Schizosaccharomyces pombe: one gene and its partners. Changing the gene in region 1 together with any one later gene gives a genetic interaction. Each region holds a gene or a part of one and is shown on either strand. Other genes may lie near its edges.

What was found.
Region 2: mutations in iqw1 (region 1) and mug30 together harm fitness more than expected from each alone (negative genetic interaction), as found in Schizosaccharomyces pombe (one large-scale study listed by BioGRID).
Region 3: mutations in iqw1 (region 1) and mgr2 together harm fitness less than expected from each alone (positive genetic interaction), as found in Schizosaccharomyces pombe (one large-scale study listed by BioGRID).
Region 4: mutations in iqw1 (region 1) and SPOM_SPBPB10D8.02C together harm fitness less than expected from each alone (positive genetic interaction), as found in Schizosaccharomyces pombe (one large-scale study listed by BioGRID).

What each region holds. Positions count from the first base shown.
Region 1 is NC_003423.3:3,160,807-3,167,066, forward strand, and holds iqw1 (WD repeat-containing protein), read left to right. Parts: upstream 1-2,333; 5' UTR 2,334-2,365; coding exon 2,366-2,426; intron 2,427-2,471; coding exon 2,472-2,565; intron 2,566-2,611; coding exon 2,612-3,296; intron 3,297-3,337; coding exon 3,338-4,836; intron 4,837-4,887; coding exon 4,888-4,978; 3' UTR 4,979-5,096; downstream 5,097-6,260. Other genes in the region: SPOM_SPBC609.01 (Dis3-like exonuclease family protein), read left to right, coding at 1-406; phosphatidylinositol-3,4,5-trisphosphate3-phosphatase Ptn1, read left to right, coding at 1,017-2,063; plasma membrane spermine family transmembrane transporter Caf5, read left to right, coding at 5,874-6,260. UniProt on the Schizosaccharomyces pombe protein: Ligand-dependent coactivator of nuclear receptors that may function as a substrate receptor for CUL4-DDB1 E3 ubiquitin-protein ligase complex.
Region 2 is NC_003423.3:3,686,163-3,693,197, forward strand, and holds mug30 (ubiquitin-protein ligase E3), read left to right. Parts: upstream 1-2,376; coding exon 2,377-2,610; exon of another isoform or gene 2,611-2,654; coding exon 2,655-4,844; 3' UTR 4,845-5,038; coding exon of another isoform or gene 5,039-5,686; 3' UTR 5,687-5,687; downstream 5,688-7,035. Other genes in the region: cyclophilin family peptidyl-prolyl cis-trans isomerase Cyp4, read left to right, coding at 1-201, 295-437; SPOM_SPBP8B7.26 (uncharacterized protein), read left to right, coding at 962-1,046, 1,101-1,804; CLRC complex-Argonaute linker protein Stc1, read right to left, coding at 5,039-5,686; abz1 (para-aminobenzoate synthase), read left to right, coding at 6,401-7,035. UniProt on the Schizosaccharomyces pombe protein: Probable E3 ubiquitin-protein ligase. Has a role in meiosis.
Region 3 is NC_003423.3:1,568,441-1,572,607, forward strand, and holds mgr2 (protein Mgr2), read right to left. Parts: upstream 2,480-4,167; 5' UTR 2,413-2,479; coding exon 2,379-2,412; exon of another isoform or gene 2,336-2,378; coding exon 2,007-2,335; 3' UTR 1,764-2,006; downstream 1-1,763. Other genes in the region: septation protein Uds1, read left to right, coding at 1-1,121; SPOM_SPBC27.05 (uncharacterized protein), read left to right, coding at 1,306-1,632; sua1 (sulfate adenylyltransferase), read right to left, coding at 3,045-4,167. UniProt on the Schizosaccharomyces pombe protein: Required for cell viability in cells lacking mitochondrial DNA.
Region 4 is NC_003423.3:82,072-87,998, reverse strand, and holds SPOM_SPBPB10D8.02C (arylsulfatase), read left to right. Parts: upstream 1-2,480; 5' UTR 2,481-2,567; coding exon 2,568-4,232; 3' UTR 4,233-4,770; downstream 4,771-5,927. Other genes in the region: SPOM_SPBPB10D8.01 (cysteine transporter), read right to left, coding at 5,046-5,927.

The DNA of each region.
Region 1 (6,260 bases):
ATCATGGAGGACAAATGCTTCTTTCTTTTATGCTTCATCTTCTTTGGAAATTGATACACCTTGTTTCAATGACTTTAAGAAAAAATTTTTGGATTCCAACGGGATGTGCAAACAAATATGCGATATGATGGATGCACAGGTTCGGGATTTAGCTAACGCTGCTGAGTCCCAGGAGTCTTTCTATTCAAAGGCTCGAGGCAATGACAGTACTAGTAAAACAGCTAAAAGTTCCTCTGGCAATCAGGATATTTCCGGAGATGGAAAACTTCATAGTTTACGTATGAAAGAGCCTGAGGTTGTTCAAACCATCCGTCCAGGCCAAGAGGTTAGTGTACTTATATTTGCTGATACTTCCGCTACTTACTCACTCTCGTTAATTACTTTACAAAGTCCTCTATCCAGTTAATCTTCAATAACTGGTGATCTTCGCTAATGTGTATGCCTCACGATTTATTTTTAATGTATGATTAATTGCATATGTCTAACGTTATATACTTCTACCACTTATTTCTTTTTACCTAAACGTTTTGGATTTATTTTAGAGGATTCGAATAATCGCATGGGTTTGTTTGTTTTTTGGTGGACTTAAATGTTTTTAAGGATTTTTATCAAAATATTTTAATGCTTATTTACGGTTCATGTCTTACGATTGTATTTCTTATTGGCTTTTTTTATTCATTTTTCTCATTTTTTTTTTTTTATTTCTTTATTATTTTTTTTTACTAGTAATACTTTTGCATCGTTTAAAGGGAAAAGTTATGCCCTTATGTTTTTTTCAATAAAATGGATTATCAAATCATTGCTATCAAAATATATAAATAATTAAAAGTAAATTAGTTATTTATTCACGTCACTATGGTTGATACCTACCCGCTTAAAGTTCATTACTAAAATCTTTATTGTATTTCTCTTATTTTCTTCTGAACAGTGCAGCTTACCTCATATTTCAACAGTCAACGGCATCTGCAGTATTATCCTAGTATATTACAAATAACTAATTAAACATGTAATTTTCCATGAATATACTTCGATCAGTAGTTTCGAGGGGTCGAAAAGGCCTCAAACAAGAAAAAGTGAATCGTAGCTTTGCTTACTTAGATATGGTTTATATTACTTCCAAGGTAATTGCTATGTCTACACCGGCTGCTGGAATACATAAGTTATATCGAAACGACGAATTGGATGTATTTAAATATCTTACAACGCAATTGAAAGACAACTGGATATTGTTGAATTTATGTGCCGAAGAAACAGTTTACCATTTGGAATTATTTAAACCAAATGTCATAAATTATGGATTTCAAGATCATAATCCACCTCCGCTTCTCTTTTTATGGGCTATTGTTATGAATATGGATGCACTCTTTCAAACGCAACCTTTGTTGACATTGGTAGTTCATTGTAAGGCCGGAAAAGGACGTACAGGAACTGTAATATGTAGCTACTTGGTAGCTTTCGGAGGCTTGACAGCCAAGCAAAGTCTTGAACTATATACTGAAAAAAGAATGGTTCGAGGGCACGGTCTTACCATTTCATCGCAAATACGTTACGTCTATTATATCGAAATTTTAAAACAGTTCCCGAATTATTTGAAAGCTGTGGAATTTAATACTGGTACCACTTTTTTTAAAAGTTTTAAATGTTTGAATATTAAAAAAAATTCATCTTTGATTCTATCATTGCATGCCTTCTCTAAGGGACGAAACATAAATCCAGTTGCTCTGTGGAAGAGTTCAGATATATCATCCCATAATGTAAGCATAAAAGAAGGAAAACGTATATGGGGGATACAATGCAACCTAGAAACATCGGAGAAAGACCTTTTGCTCAGAGTCGAACGCAAGGGCCAGTTTTACTTTCCTTCGAGTGTGCAATGTTGGTTTCATACTCACTTTCAACCTATGCTTGTGGAATACACAAACGGGATAAATTTTCAACAAGGTATAAATTCCTTTCTGCAAGGACAACAGTCAATTTCGTTCTCCTGGTCTGAAATGGATAATAGCCGACGAAGTGACCCCTTTTTCGAACAACTGACAATTGTATATGAAAATGTTTTTTGATATTTTGTAAATATTATATTAGTGTAAAATAAAATGATTATTTGTGCAATTAGATCCTCCTTTCGATCATCGAAATAAACTCACATGTTGAAGTGTTTCTACTTCAGTAAATTACAGAGGCGCTTCAAGTTTTTTTTTTAAATTTTAAAAAAAACATAGGAGTTTGAGTTTAAGGCTTATACTCTAAGATTCGAGTTTGCAGTTACGATTTATGGTATTAACTCATCGTGGCTACATTACCGACATCCACTTGAATTGAGCTTGTCTTCCACCAACGCTTGTTAATCGCTGAATTGACTCTCATGTCTGGGATATCACTATCCTTGCGTCAATTGGATTATAGAGATTGGTTTCAGCGAAAAAGTATGCTCTTGTTTTGTTTTTGAATGATGCTAACTAGTTTATTAGTCAGTCGAGATATCTACGGCAATTCGACTTGGTTGACCGGTATAGATTTGCAGAAAGAATTAACTGGTCATACGGGATGTGTTAATACACTAGAGTAAGTGTTTTATAACAATTTGTTCTACAATGCTTACAATTTTCAGCTGGTCCGCGGACGGTGAATTCTTGTTATCAGGAAGTGATGATACAAGACTAATTGTCTGGGATGTTTTCAATGAATACAAGCCACGGCATTTAATATCTACTGGCCATGTTCAAAATATCTTCAGTGCGAAATTTGTCCCATATTCTAATAACCGGCAAATATTGTCTGCTAGTGGTGATAAGCTTATTAAGTTGTTTGATTTAGATTCAAGTAAAGAAGGAGGAATGGATCACGGCATGGAGACTCAAACTAGATGTTGGAGTTGTGCTCTTGATTCTGTTAAAAACATCGTCCCTTGTGACAATGGTCATACTTTTCTAGTTTGCAGTGAAGATGGGACGGCTCGTCAATACGATATTCGTGAGCCACATGTCTGCAATCAAGATTTGGATTGTCCTTCTATACTGGTAAATTATAACCCATATCGCATCAATTTATACACTATAACCATGTCCCCTTCAAACCCTTATTATTTTGCAATTGGTGGTACTCATCCGTACGCGTTTCTATATGATCGCCGGATGGTTAAAAAATCTTTCCGGGATGATTGGACTATGAACACTTCTCCCGAAAAAGACTGCCGTTGTGTTCGTAAATTTAGTCCAGATGGCTCATGTAATTCCCAAGGTATCTTGGATCGTTATATCACTTGTTGTCAGTTTAGTGCTGCTAATCCTAATGAGGTAAGTCTTATTGCATGGGTGATCTCTAATGTTTGTTATAGTTGCTTGTCAGTTGGAACTCTGATTATGTATATTTATTCCATGTTCATGAAGATAAATCTTATACACCAACTTTTAATAAAATAGAGGATTCAAATAAAAAGCCGTCTAAGCCTTCGTTACTTCAAACACAGCCGCTGAAAAGGAAAAATTACTCGCCATGGTATAAGAATAACTTTGGTGCTTCTACTCCAGCTAGTAGAGTGTCAAGAAATCCGTATACAGCAGCCCAACCTCGAAAGCATACATTTTATCAGATGTATGAGAATATCGAAAAGTTTTTTACTACCGAAAATGGAGGACTGTATGAGAGCATTGTTAGCGGTCGTTTATCTCATTTTTCTCGCTCTATTCAGTACGTTAAAGACGCTATTTATTTCTTGGAAAATTATAATTATATTCCCGATTCAAACGGTTTGAATCATAGTATCCGCGTTAGTGCTTTACGTTATTGGAGAGCGTGTGTTTCTATTTTAGCGCTTATGGATGATACTGTGAGTTTGGAACCGAACACCATTATACAAGCTGGCTGGGGATGGTTGTATGATTTTATGAATTGGGTTACACGATATTTGTTAGGAATATCGGACCATTGGGCACTACAAATGTCTCCGCCTACGAACGTTGCTCGCCAAAACTTTGTTTTGTGTGATCCTGATGAACCATCTCGGGTTTTATTCTCAAATCCCTCTGAAATGATTAGGGCATTTGCTAGGATAGATACTAATGATTTATCTTCTGTAAGGCGGTTTTTTTGGATACATAAAGTTTTACGCGGTTGTCTTCTTCTTATATCCTCCGATATCTACTGGGAGCAATTTCAGCCTTGGGACAGCAGTACTTCTGACGTTACTTCCAGCCAAAGACTTGATGATGAAAACGGGTTCTTGACATTGTTGGAACCGCCAGTGAACTATGAAAATGAAGTTGAAAGTAGTTCGGGAGAAAATATTGTCAGTATGTATACTGGGCATTCTGATCTCAATGATGACGATGATGATTACCAGGATGAGGAAAGTTACTCCTATGCTAGTGATGATGATGATGAAAGTGATGAGGATTCGGATGAAGGTCCGACTTTGTTGTCTTTAAGAATGAAGAAGCGGAAAGCAGTGGAACCAAATGTGCCGGTGAACACACATGTTAAAAGTTATTATGGTCACTGCAACGTAGAGTCTATTAAAAATGTTAATTTCTATGGTCAAAATGATGAATATGTCATGAGTGGTTCTGACGATGGCAGGTTTTTTATTTGGGATAAGTTAAATGCTTCCATTCTTGCAATTATCCATGGCGATAGTGAAGCTGTTAACGTTATAGAAGGGCATCCCCGTTGTCCCACGCTTGCTGTGTCCGGTATTGATTCCACCGTGAAGATATTCAATACTGAGAACACTCCACCATCAGGTTGTTCAAGGAACCATACTTCCAATAGTTACAAAATAATTGCTACCAATGAAATGAATAGGCAGCAGGGGTCGCGAGATTCCTACATAACGAGGTTTGTTGAATACTTCTAATTTGCTCATGTAAATACTAACCGTTCTTCTAGTCGTATGTTGTCACATCTTGCATATCGTGCACATTTGGATGATGGGTTTGGACACGAAGTGCTCGATACCGATGCTTGTAGTATTATGTAACTGAGGAAGTTTTTTTTGAAGCTCACATTTTCTCTATTAAAACTATTTATGATTAATGATTAGACATTTTCAAGTAAACTTAATGTTGTGAAATAACTATATGATTTTACTTTTTGGGATAAAGTTGGGAATTTAAGCGAAGTAGTTAAAAGCAAGACAATTTCGGCATATTCATTTGGACAAATATTAAGTGCGTATGACTGCAGATGTTTAATAGTCATTTTTTATATAAGCTTTTCTTTAAAAGTAAAATATTAAATTTTAATTTTCTTGAAACATCGTCTTCAAAGGAAAACGGCAAGCATAGCAATCCCTCTTATTTTCTGTCTTCCGTCGATCGTCTACCTACTTAATCATAGTTTGAAGTTAAAATTGTTTTTAACGACATCATTTTTTTAAGTAACTGTTGTATTCGCATTACTCTGAAAAGAATTAATTCATACTTAGTTTTGATTAGTCATATAGTTCTGTTTTTACTTTTTAATTTCGCTTTCTTTTGCTGACAAAAATTAAGGCAGAATTTTTTACGCGAGATGACGATCGACTGATGTACGTTAGAAATGTTTGTTGTAACTTCCAATCTTAATTTTTTTTTTGTTTACATAAGCAACAAGATGATTTTGCACTTTTAATACTGCTTACTGAAACGACTTAGAATACGATGGATAATTGAAAGAAGGAATCTCACATAATTGACTAATCAATCAATATATGCTTACTTTACACTTAGTAAACATTCACGTTGATTAGGTAAGGCACGAAGGGTATATTAGGAGAAGAATGTAGCCAGACAATTGTACCAGCAAGTGTGGGCAAATAATCTGTCAAGTTTTTAATAAAGTTAACCGAGACCAAAAAATAGAACTAACTTTGGTTTTTACATACGGTCATTTAAATGGGATTTTTAAGGGAAACCGTTTTCGGCGAATTGGTCGAATACGTTTCTCACAACTCCAATGACAACGACTTAGAGAAACTGAGAGTATGGAAAGACATTAGCAAAGTAGATTCCAATGACTCATGCAGCTCGGAATCCGGCGATCTGAAGATTCATGAAGTTAATTCAGAGGGACACATTATTGTGCGATGGGATGATGCCAACGATCCCGAAAATCCCCTAAATTGGCCTTTGTGGGCAAAGCTTGTGGTGACTTTTGATATTTGCTTCTTAACGTTTGCGGTTTATGTGGGATCAGCAATTTTTACTCCAGGTATATCAGAAATGCAAGAAACGATGCACGTAGGAACTGTTCCCGTAGTTTTGGGATTGACTCTTTTTGTA
Region 2 (7,035 bases), 530 kb from region 1:
GTGATATTACGAAGGGTGATGGTACTGGTGGAAAATCAATTTATGGCAGCCGTTTTCCTGATGAAAACTTTAAGCTTTCTCACCAACGTCCCGGTTTGCTTAGCATGGCTAACGCTGGACCCGATTCCAATGGATCTCAGTTTTTCATTACTACAGTTAAAACACCTTGGTTAGATGGACACCATGTTGTTTTTGGTGAAGGTAAGAATTCATATTGTAGTTGTATATGTTTTATAAAAGTGACTATTTGTTTTCTTTTTCCTTTTTTTTGTTTGCTAATACTAATTTTATCAGTCCTTTCTGGTTACGATATTGTCAAGAAAATTTCCAAAGCTGAGACTGACAACCGTGATAAGCCTCTTGAAGATGTAAAAATTATCAAATCTGGGCAGTTGTCTCAAGAAAATGTTGAAGATGACGGAACAGATGAATTGTAATCCCTACTTTCTATTTATGAAAGTCATCAACATCTAGTGTTTATAAGATTTACTTGAAAAGCAATGATTTTACATTCTGTTAACATAAACGTTTATCATTGGAAGGATCACTTCTTGTGGTAGTTTGTTTGCATTTTCTGACAGCCATAGTTGTATAACTAATATACGCATAAAGAATGCGATTTTAACAAGTTTTCAATTGAATGAATATAGAACTCTACGTATATTATCCAATTTAGCAAGCGTAATAGCAATGCTGCAATTCTGATAGTAAGTATTGACAACAAACGCGAAGCTTATTAGCTGCTTACTATTTTGTTATGTTTTATCAAAAAGAACTCAAAGACATTATTTTTTCCTATCAGCTGGCTGATATTACTAGCACGTTGTGTAGTTGTTTACCCTATGGGCTCTTAGAAAAGCGGACTTAAGGAATTTCGAGAGTCGGAAGCTGTCCACCGCAAACATTTGGGTAAAATCGGTTTTTGCGTCAATTGTGAGAAATCAATTTCAAACTAATCGTAATGTTTGACTCAACAAAAAAATCACTGCATTCGATGTCGGATTCTGCGAACCGCTTCCAGAATAAGATTACATCGAAATTACCAGGTAAGCATATTTCCTTTGCTTTTTGAGACATTACTAACAAAATGGGATTTATAGGTGAACATGGCGAAGATGCTATGTATGATATTAGATCCGTTCATGGAACCGGGCCTCGTTTATCAATAAAATATGTCGATGTTACAAAATTGCCTCCTCCTCCAAAACATGCTTCACAGTTGCGTGCCGGTGGTAGTAGTACTGGAAGTACACCTAGAACGGCTAGCCCGGCTGTAGGAAATCAAGATTATTCGAAACCCTCTTATTCGCAGCCTTCTTATTCCCAACCTTCACAGCCCCCCAAGGAACCCGCTCTTCCTTCAAGAGGGACTCCTTCACTTCCTAGTCGACCAGGGAGTCGTCCGTCCGTCTTAAATCAAGAACAAGTCCCACCACCTCCTGTTCGTCCTAATGTAATGTCTCAGATGCCCCCACCTCCCTCCTACAGCTCTTCTGGTTCTTATTCCCAAACTTATCAGTCAAACGCTAATTATACTGCCTCTTCTCCTCTCCCTACAGCTTCTGCAAATGCACCCTTGCCGGTTCCTCCTCCCCGAAGGGTTTCTCAAAACAGTTCATATGCATCTGGATCTGTTCCCGCGGCGACTGCTGCTTCTACAGCGTCGCCTGTTAAGAAACCACCTCCACCTGCACCTCCAAAGCCAAGAAGACTTGCTGCCCGAACTTCTAGTAATTCGTCCGGTGTAAGCTCGCCAACTTCTGTTCCACCTCCGGTTCAAAGGAATACTCGACCCAACCTATAAACCAAATTTTTGCTTTCTATTTTCTTTCTCTTACTACACCATTATTACCTAGGATGGCCTATTTAGCATACTAGATGTTATTCAATGTTTAAATCATAATCTTCTTAAATCAACTTTCCTACGAATAGTCGTACATACTAGGTAATTTGACAATTTAAAATGAAAGGTATCATCAATGTAGGAACGTTCAAAAATCTTAAATAAGGTACTGCGAAGTCGACATGGTAATTTTCTTTGTAAATGTCATAATATTTACTTCTGCATTTAATGACATACATATTATACAAGAAGAGTAAAGAACTTATCTGTTTTAACAGTATTCACCTTCAAAGATCTTAGAAAATTGGTTCAACTGTGATGATCTTTTGACGAAAGAATGTTAGAATGACTACGCCATGAGAACCTGTTGAATATCGTAATATTTAAGAAATAACTATACCAATATATGTATAGTGTAGTATGGCCTAGATATGTACCATACTTTTACAGATTTGTCTTTTTGTTTTGGGTTAGTCCCAATTGTTTATCTGTAGAGCGAAATATAGATCTTTCTTAGAAGGTGAATTGCTTATATGAGTCGCCCTATTGAAATAGCCAATGTGTCTTCTGGAAACCGTAGAACGCTCCCAGCACTTCATGGCTCTAGTTTTTCTAGCCGCTCAGAACTTGACAATAATACAAATTCAAAAATATCACGTCGCTTAAGAGAGTTAGTTTGTCAACGTATGGGTGAAAATCCACTTCGACTTCGACAGTCGTTTCATGAGACAATTTCTAATGATAGTTACGGGAATTCAGAGAAATTGGTATTTAGGCTAATTGTTTGGCTAATTTATTAACAAAATTATAGGTGATCAGGCCCTGCATTTGTTGTAATAGCGTCCTGCGCTACCCTGCACAAGCTATGTGCTTTCGTTGTTCATTATGTATGACTGTGAACGATGTTTATTTTTGTTTAAGTGGCTCCCAAATAAAGACAAAAGCTTCAACCGATGGATCACAATTTATCTCAGTTGAACATTTTGTTGAAACAATTCATCAAACACGAAGTGCCTTGCAACTTGCTAAGCAGCGAACTGGCAACGTTCAAGCTATTGTGGCTGCAGGCTTACCATTACGAGAACTTATATCCTTAGTATTTGGAAGTCCACCGATATTGAATAAACTGTTCTCGGTTAAAAATGGTTGTTCAATCCAATCTTCCGGACTAAATTATAAGCTCATTTACCAATTGTACCATGATATTACAAATTTAGACATTTTAATAACAAATGAGTTGTTAAGAGCTATCGAGAGTTTACTTCGGAGACCCATGCTATATTGTCATGATCCAGCGGATTATCAATATCTTCTCATTCTTTTGGAAAATCCTTTGTTGAACTCAAAATCAAAGAATATAGTGAACAAGAGTAGCAGCATTTTGAAGAGGATTTTGGGAGTTTTATCTAACTTGAACGAGAAGACACATCATTTTTTTATTTCTTGTTTTAAAAAACAACCTTACAACAATCCTAAGTTTTTTCGAAGAAAAGTCGATCTCATAAACAAGTTTATTGGTCAACGATTAATGGAAACTTACAGTAGAAACAAAAGGAAGCACTACTATAATAATGACTGGCAAATTAAGTCAGCAGCTATTACTATGGCCTTATTATACTCTGCTAATTCGCAAATGAGACTGATAGACAGATCTTCATTTTACTGCATAATGGCTGATTTCATAAATCTTTATCACGACTTTGAGTTATGGGAGCAAAAAATCAATTGCTTTTGTTTTTGCCAGTATCCTTTTCTTCTTTCAATGGGTGCTAAAATTAGTATTCTTCAGCTTGATGCTCGGAGAAAAATGGAGATTAAAGCAAGAGAAGCATTTTTCTCTTCAATTCTTTCCAAAATGAACGTTGAACCTTATTTGATGATTCGTGTTCGGCGAGATCGACTGTTAGAAGACAGCCTAAGGCAAATTAATGACAGAAATAAAGATTTTAGAAAGGCATTAAAAGTTGAGTTTTTAGGTGAAGAAGGAATCGATGCAGGAGGATTAAAGAGAGAATGGTTGCTGCTTTTAACGAGGAAAGTTTTTAGCCCTGAGTTTGGATTATTTGTGAACTGTGAAGAGTCTTCAAATTATCTATGGTTTAATTATTCACACAGGTCGAAAGAAATTGATTACTATCATATGTCAGGTATATTGATGGGAATTGCAATCCACAATTCAATAAATTTGGATGTACAGATGCCCAGAGCTTTCTATAAAAAACTTTTACAGTTACCTCTAAGTTTCAATGACTTGGATGATTTTCAGCCTAGTCTATATCGAGGATTAAAAGAGCTTTTACTATTTGAAGGAGATGTAAAAAATACTTACGGTCTTAATTTTACAATTAATCTCAAAGCTGTCGAGGGCTTTCGCACTGTTGAGTTGAAAGAAGGAGGCTCTGAATTGAGTGTTGATAATGAGAACAGAAAAGAATATGTTTTGAGGTATGTAGATTATCTCTTAAATACTACTGTAAAAAAACAATTTTCTGCTTTTTTCGATGGCTTTATGAAAGTATGTGGAGGTAACGCCATATCGTTGTTTCAAGACAATGAAATCAGCAAGTTGATCAGAGGAAGTGAAGAAGTTATTGACTGGGAGCTACTCAAAAATGTCTGCGTTTATGATTTTTATGACCAAAATGCGATTTCAAATTCTATATCTGAAAGTGAACCAAGTATGACTGCATCTAAATATCTCTGCCACTCTTTCGTATCAAAAAGAAAAATAATACTTTGGTTTTGGGATTTGATATCACACTATTCGCTAAAAATGCAAAAACTTTTTCTCATTTTCGTCACAGGAAGCGATCGCATTCCCGCTACTGGGGCACATAATTTTCAATTAAGAATCTCAGTTCTCGGACCTGACAGTGATCAACTTCCTATCTCTCATACTTGCTTCAATCACTTATGTATTTGGGAATACTCCAGTAGGGAAAAGTTAAAAAAAAAATTAGACACGGCGTTGCTTGAAACTAATGGGTTCAATATACGCTAGTGTTTACATCAGGGTTCGCAATTCCTTACCTTTTACTACTATATACATATATCTATTTATTTAAGATCTAAATTAAATTCAACATATTTTAAGGTCTACATTAGCACTAATGGACCTTTATAATTTATCATATAAAATGGGATCGTAAGCAAATCTTTACATAATTCAAATAAGGATGAATATAAAACGTGTCTCTATACAATTTGTTTTTCTTTTTTGAATTGCTGAAATATCTCTTCCATCCTGTCTTCATCAGAGTCATCATCATCATATTCTTCAGCTGAATTGCTTTCCTGTTGCCCCTTGCTTTCAGTTCGCTCTTCGTCAGTATTATCAGAAACATCGTCAGCGTATTCTGAGTTTATGGTTTGTTTATCATGAATGTAGATATCATCGTCTAAGTCAGAATCATCACCTATGAAAGGATCAACGAACTTATCAGATTCCAAATTATCATCACCGTCGTTCCTTTGTGAATGTACACATATCTGACATCGTGGATCCAGGACATGTCTTTGTGCCTTAGAGAATTCATTAATGCCCTTAGTTTGTTGACAAGCGGTACACCAAATTGAATCATGCTGTTTGGGCTGGCAGGTACGACATATCACTTTTGGGTCTGAAACGCTAACCGTTCTCCCACGAACAAATGTAAACGTTTTGCTCCATTGAGTTTTGCTGTAAGAGTCTATCCCTTTAACCTTTCTGCATCTCATACACATAATTAAACAATCATTATCATTTTTCCCTTTTGAATTCAATGTACCCCGGTATTTTTTAGCATGTAGTTTGCAATCCTTCGGATGCTTTTTAATTTTATATTTTCGACTCTTAAAATCCATATTTTTTTATTATTATTAATATGGTAACAATACTCTTATAAATGAATATATGTACTGAAATAATTTTAATTAGCTGCTGACGTTAGAAGCATTAAGTAGACAATACCTTTAATGAACAAAATGTGATAGCCTTGACAACCAAATAGAAGAAACATACAGGCTTAATCAGGATTTAGAAAAAAAAAACAGTAATACAAGCCGTCCTATCAATTGTCATTGAGATCTTTACGCTGATCAGGCTGTAAATGCATTAATATAAAATTTACTACCGTTCGGTTCGATTAATAGGTGAATCAATGATATTAAAGCAAAAAAGAATACATATATTTGTTGATTGCTTCATGTTCTATTGACAATGAAAATTGCACATATTCAAAGGGTTGTTTTCAAAATAAATACTGCTTCCCATTCTATTATTCTCGCCTTCAAGTTTTTGATTGCGAATTATTCTTTGAAAATAAACGGAATAATAAAACTTTAGATAGCCTACACTTTTCCTACCTTAAATGGAATTGTATGATTTGTAAAATCCCGAAGAATGTCAGAAGCTTCTAAACAAATTGGAAACTGGAATTTAATTTGCGCACTTCCTACTCCTGCTACTTTGTAAAAGTTAAAACCTCTTAATACCAGAGTTCTCTTTTCAATCATATCGTTAAAAAATTAATGTTTCTTGAGTAAATCTAAGGTCGTTTTAGCTGATTAGTATCTATCATGAGTGAAATTTCAAACCGTTTACAAATTTTATTAATTGATTGCTATGACTCATACACTTTTAACCTTTATGACTTACTTTACAAAGCAAGTGAAAATGCCTGTGTTATTGTTGTTCATTGGGATAAAATGAGTCCTGATTTATGGGAAGACATACTTCAATTTGATGCCATTGTCGTAGGACCGGGCCCTGGACATCCTGCCGAATATTCTTCTATTTTGAATCGTATTTGGCAATTAAATATCCCAGTAATGGGCATTTGTTTGGGGTTTCAGTCATTAGCTTTATACCACGGTGCCACTATAGAAAGAATGCCTAATCTTCCTTGGCATGGCCGTGTGTCATCTGTAACTACTTCAAAAACTTTCATTTTTGATGGAATTTCAGCGGTTAAAGGAATGCGTTACCACAGTTTGTACGCGAACAAAATTCCCATCGATTCTTTACAAATATTAGCTCAATCGGATGAAGATAACATAGTTATGTCTATTAAGGCTACAAAGTTTCCACATTTTGGAATACTTTATCATCCTGAAAGCGTTGGGTCATCAAAATCTTTGAAAATTTTCAAAAATTTCCTTTCTCTAGCAGATACTCCTAATATACAATGTGTCAATTCCTTTTCAAAATCAGC
Region 3 (4,167 bases), 1.6 Mb from region 1:
GCAGTGATGTCCTACTTGACGGTAGCGAGAAACCAGCGCAAGCTGAATTAACTATAAATTCAGAAAACTTTCCAGTTGACTGTAGCCTTCCTGTTCAAACGGGTGCTGACGTCGTTGTCCCTGATACAACTGATGAAGAAGTCATAACCTCAGAACCCGTGAAGTTAGAACAACCGATCAATGAAAACAGCAATGTAGAAGAAGCTGAAAAGGATTATCAGCCGTCTGAGAAAGATGACAAATCTCTTATTGGCGGCATCCTCAGTACAGTTGAAATGACCCAGTCTACTGATGTGAATGACGAGATTGAAAATACTTTAACCATACCTGTTGAGGTAGAGCATTCTGATAATATTGACAAAGGCAGTGAAGAAAATGATCTTGGAAAAGAAGCCGTTGATGAAGCAAACAACAACCAGAATGATGTTCTAGAATCTGTCGTGGTGGAACAATCTACTACAACTGATGACTGTGAAAACAAAGTATATGAAGGACAAATGAACGACAAAAATTCCTCCCTTGATATGGTCAATGCATGCGAAGGTATTAATCAGACTGCAATTGGGTTCGTTGAGAAGCCTGACAAGGTTACTGAGCTAATCGATGAAGCTGAAGAAAACATCGATATATCTCAGGACATCTCTATGACCGAGACGAACGCTGTAGATGATGAAGTGCAAGCAGAAAACTCCATCTTACAAGATGAAGTTGAAGAAACTCGTCAAGATGATATCGAGAAGGATGAGCTGGAAGACATCAAGGAAGTAAAAGAGGATGAAAATTTAACTACTTTAGAGGAAACAATTGAGATTCCGGCCAACGATATTGAAGTCCAGGACCCTGAACAATGTTCATGTATGAACAGTACTGAAAATGATAATATCACTACTGAGAATTCAAGCGAAATCGTACAAGTTATTCATACAGAAGACGATTCCTTGCATTTTGATGACAATGTTTCAACCGATTCAGTAAGTCTGGGGAATAAGTCTAGGATAAGCATGGATTCAATGAGAAACGACTGTGAAGCGTTTTTGCCGAAAAAGGAAAAATTCGGCTCTTTAAGGACTTTACACAGTTTTGAAAGTAGTATGAGGAGAGTATCTACTTCTGCAGCATAACCAAATACGATCTTCTAAATTTGCAGCTGTATAAGGAAGATGTTCCGATTATAAACTTTTTTCCTTCTTGGACCTTTTTGCAGGTGCTTTCAAGTTTTTTTTTGAATTTTGGCTAAGAAGCAAACGAAAGATTTTGAAGACTATGCTTTCGCAACTTTATGAACGCAGTAAATTCTGCTTATGAATGGTGCATACAACGGTTTATGGACTTGCATATTTATTTTATTCTGGCATTAATTGCATTTTGCTTTACCAGTTGGAGATTGAATCGAAGTTTTATATAAGATACCAACTAATAATGCGTGTACAAAAAGAGACAACAGACGCATTTACATTACAATTAGCATCTAAAGAAGTGATAACATCAAGCATATATAATACATTTAATAATACTAATGAGCATATGTATCTTCAACCCATATGTAACCGAATCTTCCTTATGACAAGCATTATTGATATTGCAAGTTTTAAGGCACAAGTATTGTTTCTAAATATCTTTATGATCAAATAATAATTAGCTTATTTGTAATAGCTTGTCTTCGATCATTTTTTGTAACTATTGCTACAAATATTATTCATCGAAACAAACTAATTTACCAATTTACCACCTAGCAAATTACCCAAATCTTTAAATCGTAAAAATTTTAAGGAAAATTAAATCGCCATCAAAATATTAACAATATGGTATAAAGACTTTTTTAAACATGAACTATCAGAAAAATGCAAAAGTCCTTTGATGTAGCGGCCAAAGCTTTTTAGTTTAAATGCATGATAGTACAATCATCAGTACATCTTTAACTCAGAATTCAGGAGAAACAAATATTGTACCTCATATACTAACAAAATGATAGTATGATACTTTTATTATAATCGGATTAAACGAAATTAGCACTCAGCAACTTCATTTGATTTACGTGGAGAACTTTTGGCCTGTTGCATAGCCAAGGCAAAAATACGACTGGAATTTGCATTTTCATTTAATAATCTTTGATTCCAATGTGAGCCTGACTGCTGTATTAGTGGTATATCTTCGTTGCGAATTACAGAGCCGATGGACATGAAAAAGCCAAAAGTGGCCGCAGATGTTAACATGTATTGACCTAAGGTCCTTAAGAATCCACGTGGACCAGGCCCATAGCGCAAAACTGCTACTCCTCCAAATAAAAACCCGATGCCAAGTCCAGCAGCTGAACCCATAATGGCGCCCATTTTTACTGTTCAGTGTTAATGACTGAATTCATACAATATAGAACTTACGCTTATCCACAGTTGAAGGTTGCATAGATTGCATTTTGAGTAGTTAAAGGTCTTACTTTTATTTAGAAATAGAGAGCACTAGTTTCAAGGGGGATTTTGTTGGTAGGAAAAGTAAGGTAGTATACAGTTATTATATTGGATACCTAGGTATAACAATAGATGTAACAATTTCTTTTGTTAAATCAATAGTTTAGTTTAGGAAATGTTAATTTAAAGAAAACCTATATATATATTTTTTATAAGCCCAGTTTTTTTAAGTAAATGTAACAATGTATTACATCCAGGCATGCGTTAAGTGAGAGCATAGGCTTAACGTTATAATGACTTCTGAATTAAAATAAAACATTGCATTGGCATGTATTGCAATTGCTAAAGTCTGCTATGTATATCTGACATATATAATAAATTAATTCCCCTCGGCTTCGGATTGAATTTCCTACCTTTTGTTATTAAGAAGCCTATCGCTAATTAATTACTAACATGTCCTTAGCGAAATTTAATTGAGTTGCATTCTTAGTTACATCTACAAATGGCAAAGTTCTAATGAGGGAGTGTTGTCATTCCTGCAGCAATTATTTTATTATTTAATAGACAAGTAGAACATAAAAGAACAAAAATGGATATATGTATATATATATATATATATATATGTCAAAAAACATTATTTTAAAGATAGCCTTCGTCAGACAATTGTGAAAGGACAGCAAAAGTAACCTCAGAAACAGAGTCTTTGGGCTTGATGTTTACGGTAGTCCACTCAGCAGGTACTTTAACAGATGCATCAGCATCAGCCAGAGAAACAACAACGGCAGCACCAGCACGTTGCAATTCTTGGGCGTAAAACACTGAAATAGCATCTAAGCGAGGTAAAAGAGTGACATGGCGGCGACCATCCTCGTTCAAGGCTGAAACTAGAGCGCTGGGGAGAAGTTTATCGGAGGTGGCAGGAACAGCCAAAACAAATCCTTGAGAGTATTTGGGAGGATAGGATTGACGTAAAATAGCGACAACCTCTGGATAAGAGAACCACTCAGGGATGTTGGCACCGACGCGAAGACGGCGACGAAGTTCAGTACCACTGATGTTCAAAGTACGGGTACCGGGTTCGACTTTGTCAACTGGCTTGTAGATGTCCTCATCAGGAAGGTAAGTCATCATTTGGAAAGGAACAATGGTGATACCGATTTCCTGAGCGTATTGTTCAACAAGGTACTGAGCATCGTAAGGACCATAAAAATCCTCGCCTTGACTGTTCTTACCAGGACCAGCATGATCACGACCAATGATGAAATGAGAAGCACCGTAGTTCTTACGAATGATGGCGTGCCATAAAGCTTCACGAGGACCAGCCATACGCATGGCTAAGGGAAGAAGAGAGAGCTTGGCGGAACCCTTAGGATAGCGTTGGAGAATAGCCTCGTAAACACGCACACGGGTGAAGTGATCGATATCACCAGGCTTGGTCATACCGACGACAGGGTGAATGAGCACACGGGCACCGTGTTGCTTAGCAGCACGGACGGTAAGCTCACGATGGGCGCGATGCATGGGATTACGGGTTTGGAAAGCAACGACGCGATTCCAGTTGTTACGCTGGAAGTCAGAGCGAAGTTGAGCAGGTGAGTAGCGGTACTCTACGAAATCGAAATGGCGAATAGGAGTAACGGCTTGAAGTTTACCACCAACATACACATTTCCAGCACGACCAAACAAGTAGTCGACGGCAGGGTGGGCGCGATCATTAGCACCAAATACCTTTTCAGCTTCGTTCGCCTTATCTGGGGTATAC
Region 4 (5,927 bases), 3.1 Mb from region 1:
AAAACCATTTGGGTTGGAATCCAGCGATTGGGACCTATCTTCTTGCTAATTAATTGAGATGGCAGTTTTGCCGCTAAAAAGGAACAATAAAATATTGTCATACCCTTATTGTAATCATTAGTATTCATTCCTAAATCATCCAACATGTTATCTGAAAGGGCTTGTTGAATATTGGCACGATCTAATTCTAGTGCAAAAAACATAATGAATGCCCATGAAATAATGAGCATATCTATTTTACGAACAACTTTTTGTTCCTGACCCATATCCATCTAAAAAAAGGATCGATGCGGTGTCTACTTTCATAGTAAGGACTAGGTTTGAAAGCAGCTAACGTATTAGGATCATCAAAAATGGATTTTTTTGTTGTAATGGAGTTTGGATCTAGCTTTCTCCGTTTCCAAAAAAATTTCGAAAATTCCTAGGGCTCTCCAAGTTCAAGCATATTGTCCTCATGAGCAGATTCATCATCACCTAATTTCTCAAATATAGATGCTTCATCCTTTTAATCAGTATCGTAGATAATACCATTTTGATATACTTCATGTTGCTCATCTGAGGACTCGCTTTCACTTTCAATAATGCGTTGTTGAACTAAGTTGTAATATTTCTGGTTTAATCAGCTAATGATCCACCGTATACGATTTTTCCAAGTACTATAGTTAAAAAAAGATGTCCGCTCAAATAAATATTTATATGCCTATACTAGTAGCACTTTACATGCCGCTACATTATATATAAAAGTGAACAGCCAATTAATTTTGCTTTTTAATCATTTCCAAGTCATTTAAAATTCCTTGCAATAATAAGCGTATATGGGAATGTAGTTAGCACAATTACTTGCTTCGGCTCAGACAACCTATTATTATAATACAGCTTATTTTATAATAATATTATTAGCTTTTTACCCATCGAACACAAATGAAAACATGCTAAGAAAAGGAATGTTTAAACAAAATTATTATAGTCATAATCTAGGATGCATTTACCGAGTAACAATGACAACTTAACACGTGTAAATTCTAATTTGTAATTAAAACGATTTGCTATTACTATTTAAATGTAAACCAAGTTTGAATACATCCGATATAATAATGAGTAAAAAGAAAATAGTGGGTGCTGCTCAATAAGTTTACACTTTAACATAATATCAGACCAAATCTGATAAATATGAATTTACGTAACTCTTTTGATATAATTTGAATTCACTTATAATTGCAATTGATAGTACCAAAAGTGCGTTGAAGGGAAATGATGTATGGATTGTTTGAGAATGTTACATCTTTTCTCGGATCCAACATTACGCAAAGATCCTTTCTGTACAACAACTTAATCCTTTAACTTTACAAGTTCCTACAATTGAAACAAGTTGTTTTTGTATATTGTGAATGTCTTAAGATGTTCTTTATCTGTATTTTTTAACAATTGGTCCACTATTTTTGAACTTAGGAAGTCTAATTATTGGACGGCCCTTAGTTACGGAAACAATTTACCAAGAAAAAAATCTTCAGATATATAGCATTAAGCTTTATTATGATACATCTCGATACTTTTATACTCTTCATATCTTCATATATATTACGTCCACTAATCGAGATTATTAAATTCCAATTGTAATAATTAAGTATTATTTTAATTTCAAACGAAAAGAGAATCCGAGGTCAGTTGTAAATTAATTATTACCACTTAGTATGAAAATATTCGTGTCTGATATTTCATATCAATAAGACAATACAAAGGACCAAAACGTAATTTTAATCGCAGTTTACCCCCATTAAATTGTATGAAATTCGTATCACTCAACAAATCTAGGTATAAATATGATTTTTCTCAGTTATTGTCAAAAGCAAAATGTTATTATATCTAATTTATCTCATAGAAAATATGTTGAATCTTCCACTGACATTTCTCGTTGAAAGTTCAAAATAACGAAAATCGACGTCCTTGTTAATTATCATTTGGTATCTTTTAGAAAATTAATGTTTTCTTATATGTATAAAGCTTCAAAATCTATTTAGGTTCCTTTGTAGTATATTACCGAAACCGATTTTTTCTAGAGTAAAGCATTTATTGATATAAAGATCAATTAATATAATTTGGCGAGTGTTTAAATATTTTCACATATTTTCCTTTGGGATTGATAACTCAATTAATATTTCCTTGATAAATAAAAAAAAAAAGTCAATTCCTGGTCAGTAAACTCAGTTTTGCACATATTGAGTGAGTGACAGTAATTAGTTTTAAACTTGATTTACTGAATCTTATCTCTAAAATATTCAGATAAGTAAATTACAGTTTGATCCAGTAAATTGGAATGTATGAGTATCTTTTTTAATATGGATGATGTTACTCAAAGCTTACGTGATAGCACGCCATACTTCTTCATTAGGTATTTGTAATTTTGCAATCTATTACGGAAGACAATTGTTGCAAATATATTTTTTCATATTTTAATCAACTTGTGGGCTGTCTCTTGTCTCACATGCCCTTTATGAACATAAAATAAAAATTACAGTTTGAGCTGCATAAAAATTTATTCGCAATCAAAAAAAATTTGAATAGTAACTATGGCTTTTAATAAACAAGCTGAATCTAAAAAACCAAACTTTTTGGTCATCGTAGCTGACGATCTTGGATGGTCAGATGTTTCTCCGTTTGGAAGTGAAATACACACTCCAAATATTGAGAGGCTTGCAAAGGAAGGTGTACGGTTGACAAACTTTCATACAGCCTCTGCTTGCTCGCCTACTCGATCTATGTTATTAAGCGGTACAGACAATCACATAGCAGGTTTAGGGCAAATGGCAGAGACAGTACGCAGGTTTTCGAAAGTATGGGGTGGAAAGCCTGGGTACGAAGGCTACCTAAATGATAGAGTTGCTGCATTACCAGAGATTCTACAGGAAGCGGGTTACTATACCACAATGTCTGGAAAGTGGCACCTTGGACTAACCCCAGATCGTTACCCTTCAAAGCGAGGATTTAAAGAATCTTTTGCACTTTTACCTGGAGGTGGTAATCATTTTGCATATGAACCTGGTACTAGAGAAAACCCTGCTGTACCTTTTTTACCACCATTGTATACCCACAATCATGATCCTGTTGATCACAAAAGCTTAAAAAATTTTTATTCGTCCAATTACTTTGCAGAAAAATTAATTGATCAGTTAAAAAATCGTGAAAAATCCCAGTCATTTTTTGCTTACCTCCCATTTACAGCACCTCATTGGCCGTTGCAATCACCAAAAGAATATATTAATAAATATCGTGGACGATATAGTGAAGGCCCCGATGTGTTACGAAAAAATCGCTTGCAAGCCCAAAAGGATTTGGGACTTATACCAGAAAATGTAATTCCAGCACCTGTAGATGGAATGGGAACCAAGTCATGGGACGAACTAACAACAGAAGAGAAAGAATTTTCTGCGCGAACGATGGAAGTTTATGCTGCAATGGTCGAATTATTAGATTTGAATATTGGTCGTGTTATTGACTACTTGAAAACTATTGGAGAACTTGACAACACATTTGTTATATTTATGTCAGACAACGGTGCAGAAGGGTCAGTTTTGGAAGCAATCCCGGTATTAAGCACAAAACCACCGGTTAAGTATTTTGACAATTCACTGGAAAACTTGGGTAATTATAATTCATTTATTTGGTACGGACCAAGATGGGCACAGGCTGCGACCGCTCCTTCTCGACTTAGCAAGGGTTTTATTACAGAAGGTGGTATTCGATGTCCTGCTATAATTCGCTATCCTCCATTGATCAAGCCAGACATCATCTCCGATGAGTTTGTTACGGTTATGGATATCCTGCCAACCATCCTTGAGTTAGCAGAAGTCCCTCACCCAGGGCACAAATTTCAAGGACGAGATGTTGTAATCCCCCGTGGGAAACCTTGGATTGACCATTTTGTGCATGGAAAACCCGTACACAAAGATACTGACTTTAGCGGCTGGGAACTTTTCGGGCAAAGAGCTATCAGAAAAGGAAATTATAAGGCAATATATGTACCTAAAGAAGGAATAAAAACAGAATGGGAGCTGTATGATCTTTCCCAGGACAAAGGTGAGCTTGAAAATCTAGCGAAAGTCCATCCAGATATTCTAAACGAACTCATCGAGTATTGGTTGGTCTACGAAGCTGAAACTGGAGTAGTAACAGCCCCAGACGATTTTGTTGCCGAAAACGTCGGTTTGTTCAAACCAGCTAAGCACAATCTTTAATGATTATTCATGATATTGAATTTTACAATAATTTTTTACTGTTAATGAAACACCACATAGCAGTTTATTAATGGTAAAAAACTTATTGCAAATATGGAACTCGGGTTCAGCTAATTGTTTAATTTAATGGGCTATTTCCAGTCTTTTACTTATTAAACACCACAGTTTAAAGATTATAAAATCTAATAATAGCTGATTTCATCTATCAACGTATATATGCTAAGTTACCAATTGATTCAATGTTTTTTAAATATGATAATCTACAGCGAAAATTATCAGATGGAATGCAAAGCCGAGCTGAAAAATTTAACTGGTTTGGATTTCCCCTACGTATTAGGCTTTATAATTGATATAAAAATACTTTTTTAGAACATCTCTTTTTCAATCGCAACTTTGCAGCAAAGTAAACTATGAGAAACCATTGGGGATAAAAATCGACCTCCATTTTATTTAGCAATGAATGCTAGTTCTTCTTTTCAATCTATGTAAATAGTAACTGAATAAAGCTTTCAGCAATATATACAAACAAAATTTCAAACTATTCTTCGCTAAAGACGAAGATTACTATTAAAGGTTAGGAATCCTAAAGGAAACAAAAAAACAAGTAAATAAAGCAACTGTCTTGTAGTAGTCTAAAATAAGTTAAGAGTTTACGGGCAAGTAGTTTAAAAATACAAAATTTTGCAAAAAAAAAAGCAAATAGTAGAAGGATTTTTCATGACTGTTGGGAATTTGAAATTATTTTGTAAACATTTCTCATGAATACTTCAAAAAGTTATTTTTTAAGATTTATTCCTTCGTTTAAATGGATAATTATAAGGGATAAATAAACGATAGGTTCTCCTGGTCTGTCAAATCAAGCATAGAATTTTCGTAAAAACCGGAAACGTGATTTCCAGAAGAATCAATCGTCTCAATCCAAGTCTTTTCATACTGTTCTTTATTCTGCTCAAGAAGAGCAAGGCGCTTTTTGTTCCTTCGAACAAGAATCCAGCGAATGATCAGCAATACAAAGGGAGAAACAGACCAAGCAATTACTATTTGAACAATCCAAGCAGGATAATATCTCGGGGCATCACGACTCTGCCACATTTGTGGGCCAATGATGTTGGCAATGGCATATCCAATCATAAACATAACACCACGAGTAAGCTTCTTTGTGTATCCAGCACAAGAGGCTGTTGTCCATCCAAGAGAAATAATAAAAGGGATACCAAAATTGCTTGCTATAATAATAGCTGCTAACTCCCCAATTTTATGATCCCATGACATGGCTACGCACGCAATTCCTCCGGCAATACTTGGGATATACCATATAGCTCCGTGAAAGGCACTTTGGTTTTTTATCACACTCATCATATAAGTTGCTATAATTGCGCTAACGCAATTATATCCGGCACTAGCGACGCCCACCAAGGTAGAATTCAAATCAGAAACATTCAAGCTTGTAAAAAGTAAATTTTGTTGGTAAGCTAAATTGTTGGAAAGTTGATTGCAAAAAACATGAAAAGTAAATAACCATGTCACTGGATCCTTTAACGCCTCGATTACTTGATACTTCTTGAAAGTCTTCGACTCAATACCGCTATGATTACTTCTACGTACACGGTCAACTGTGTATAATCTCTCTTTCTTGGTCAAGAATCTAGCAGTAGAAGTATTATCTGGGTAATAAAAAAAGAGTCCAATAGTTAA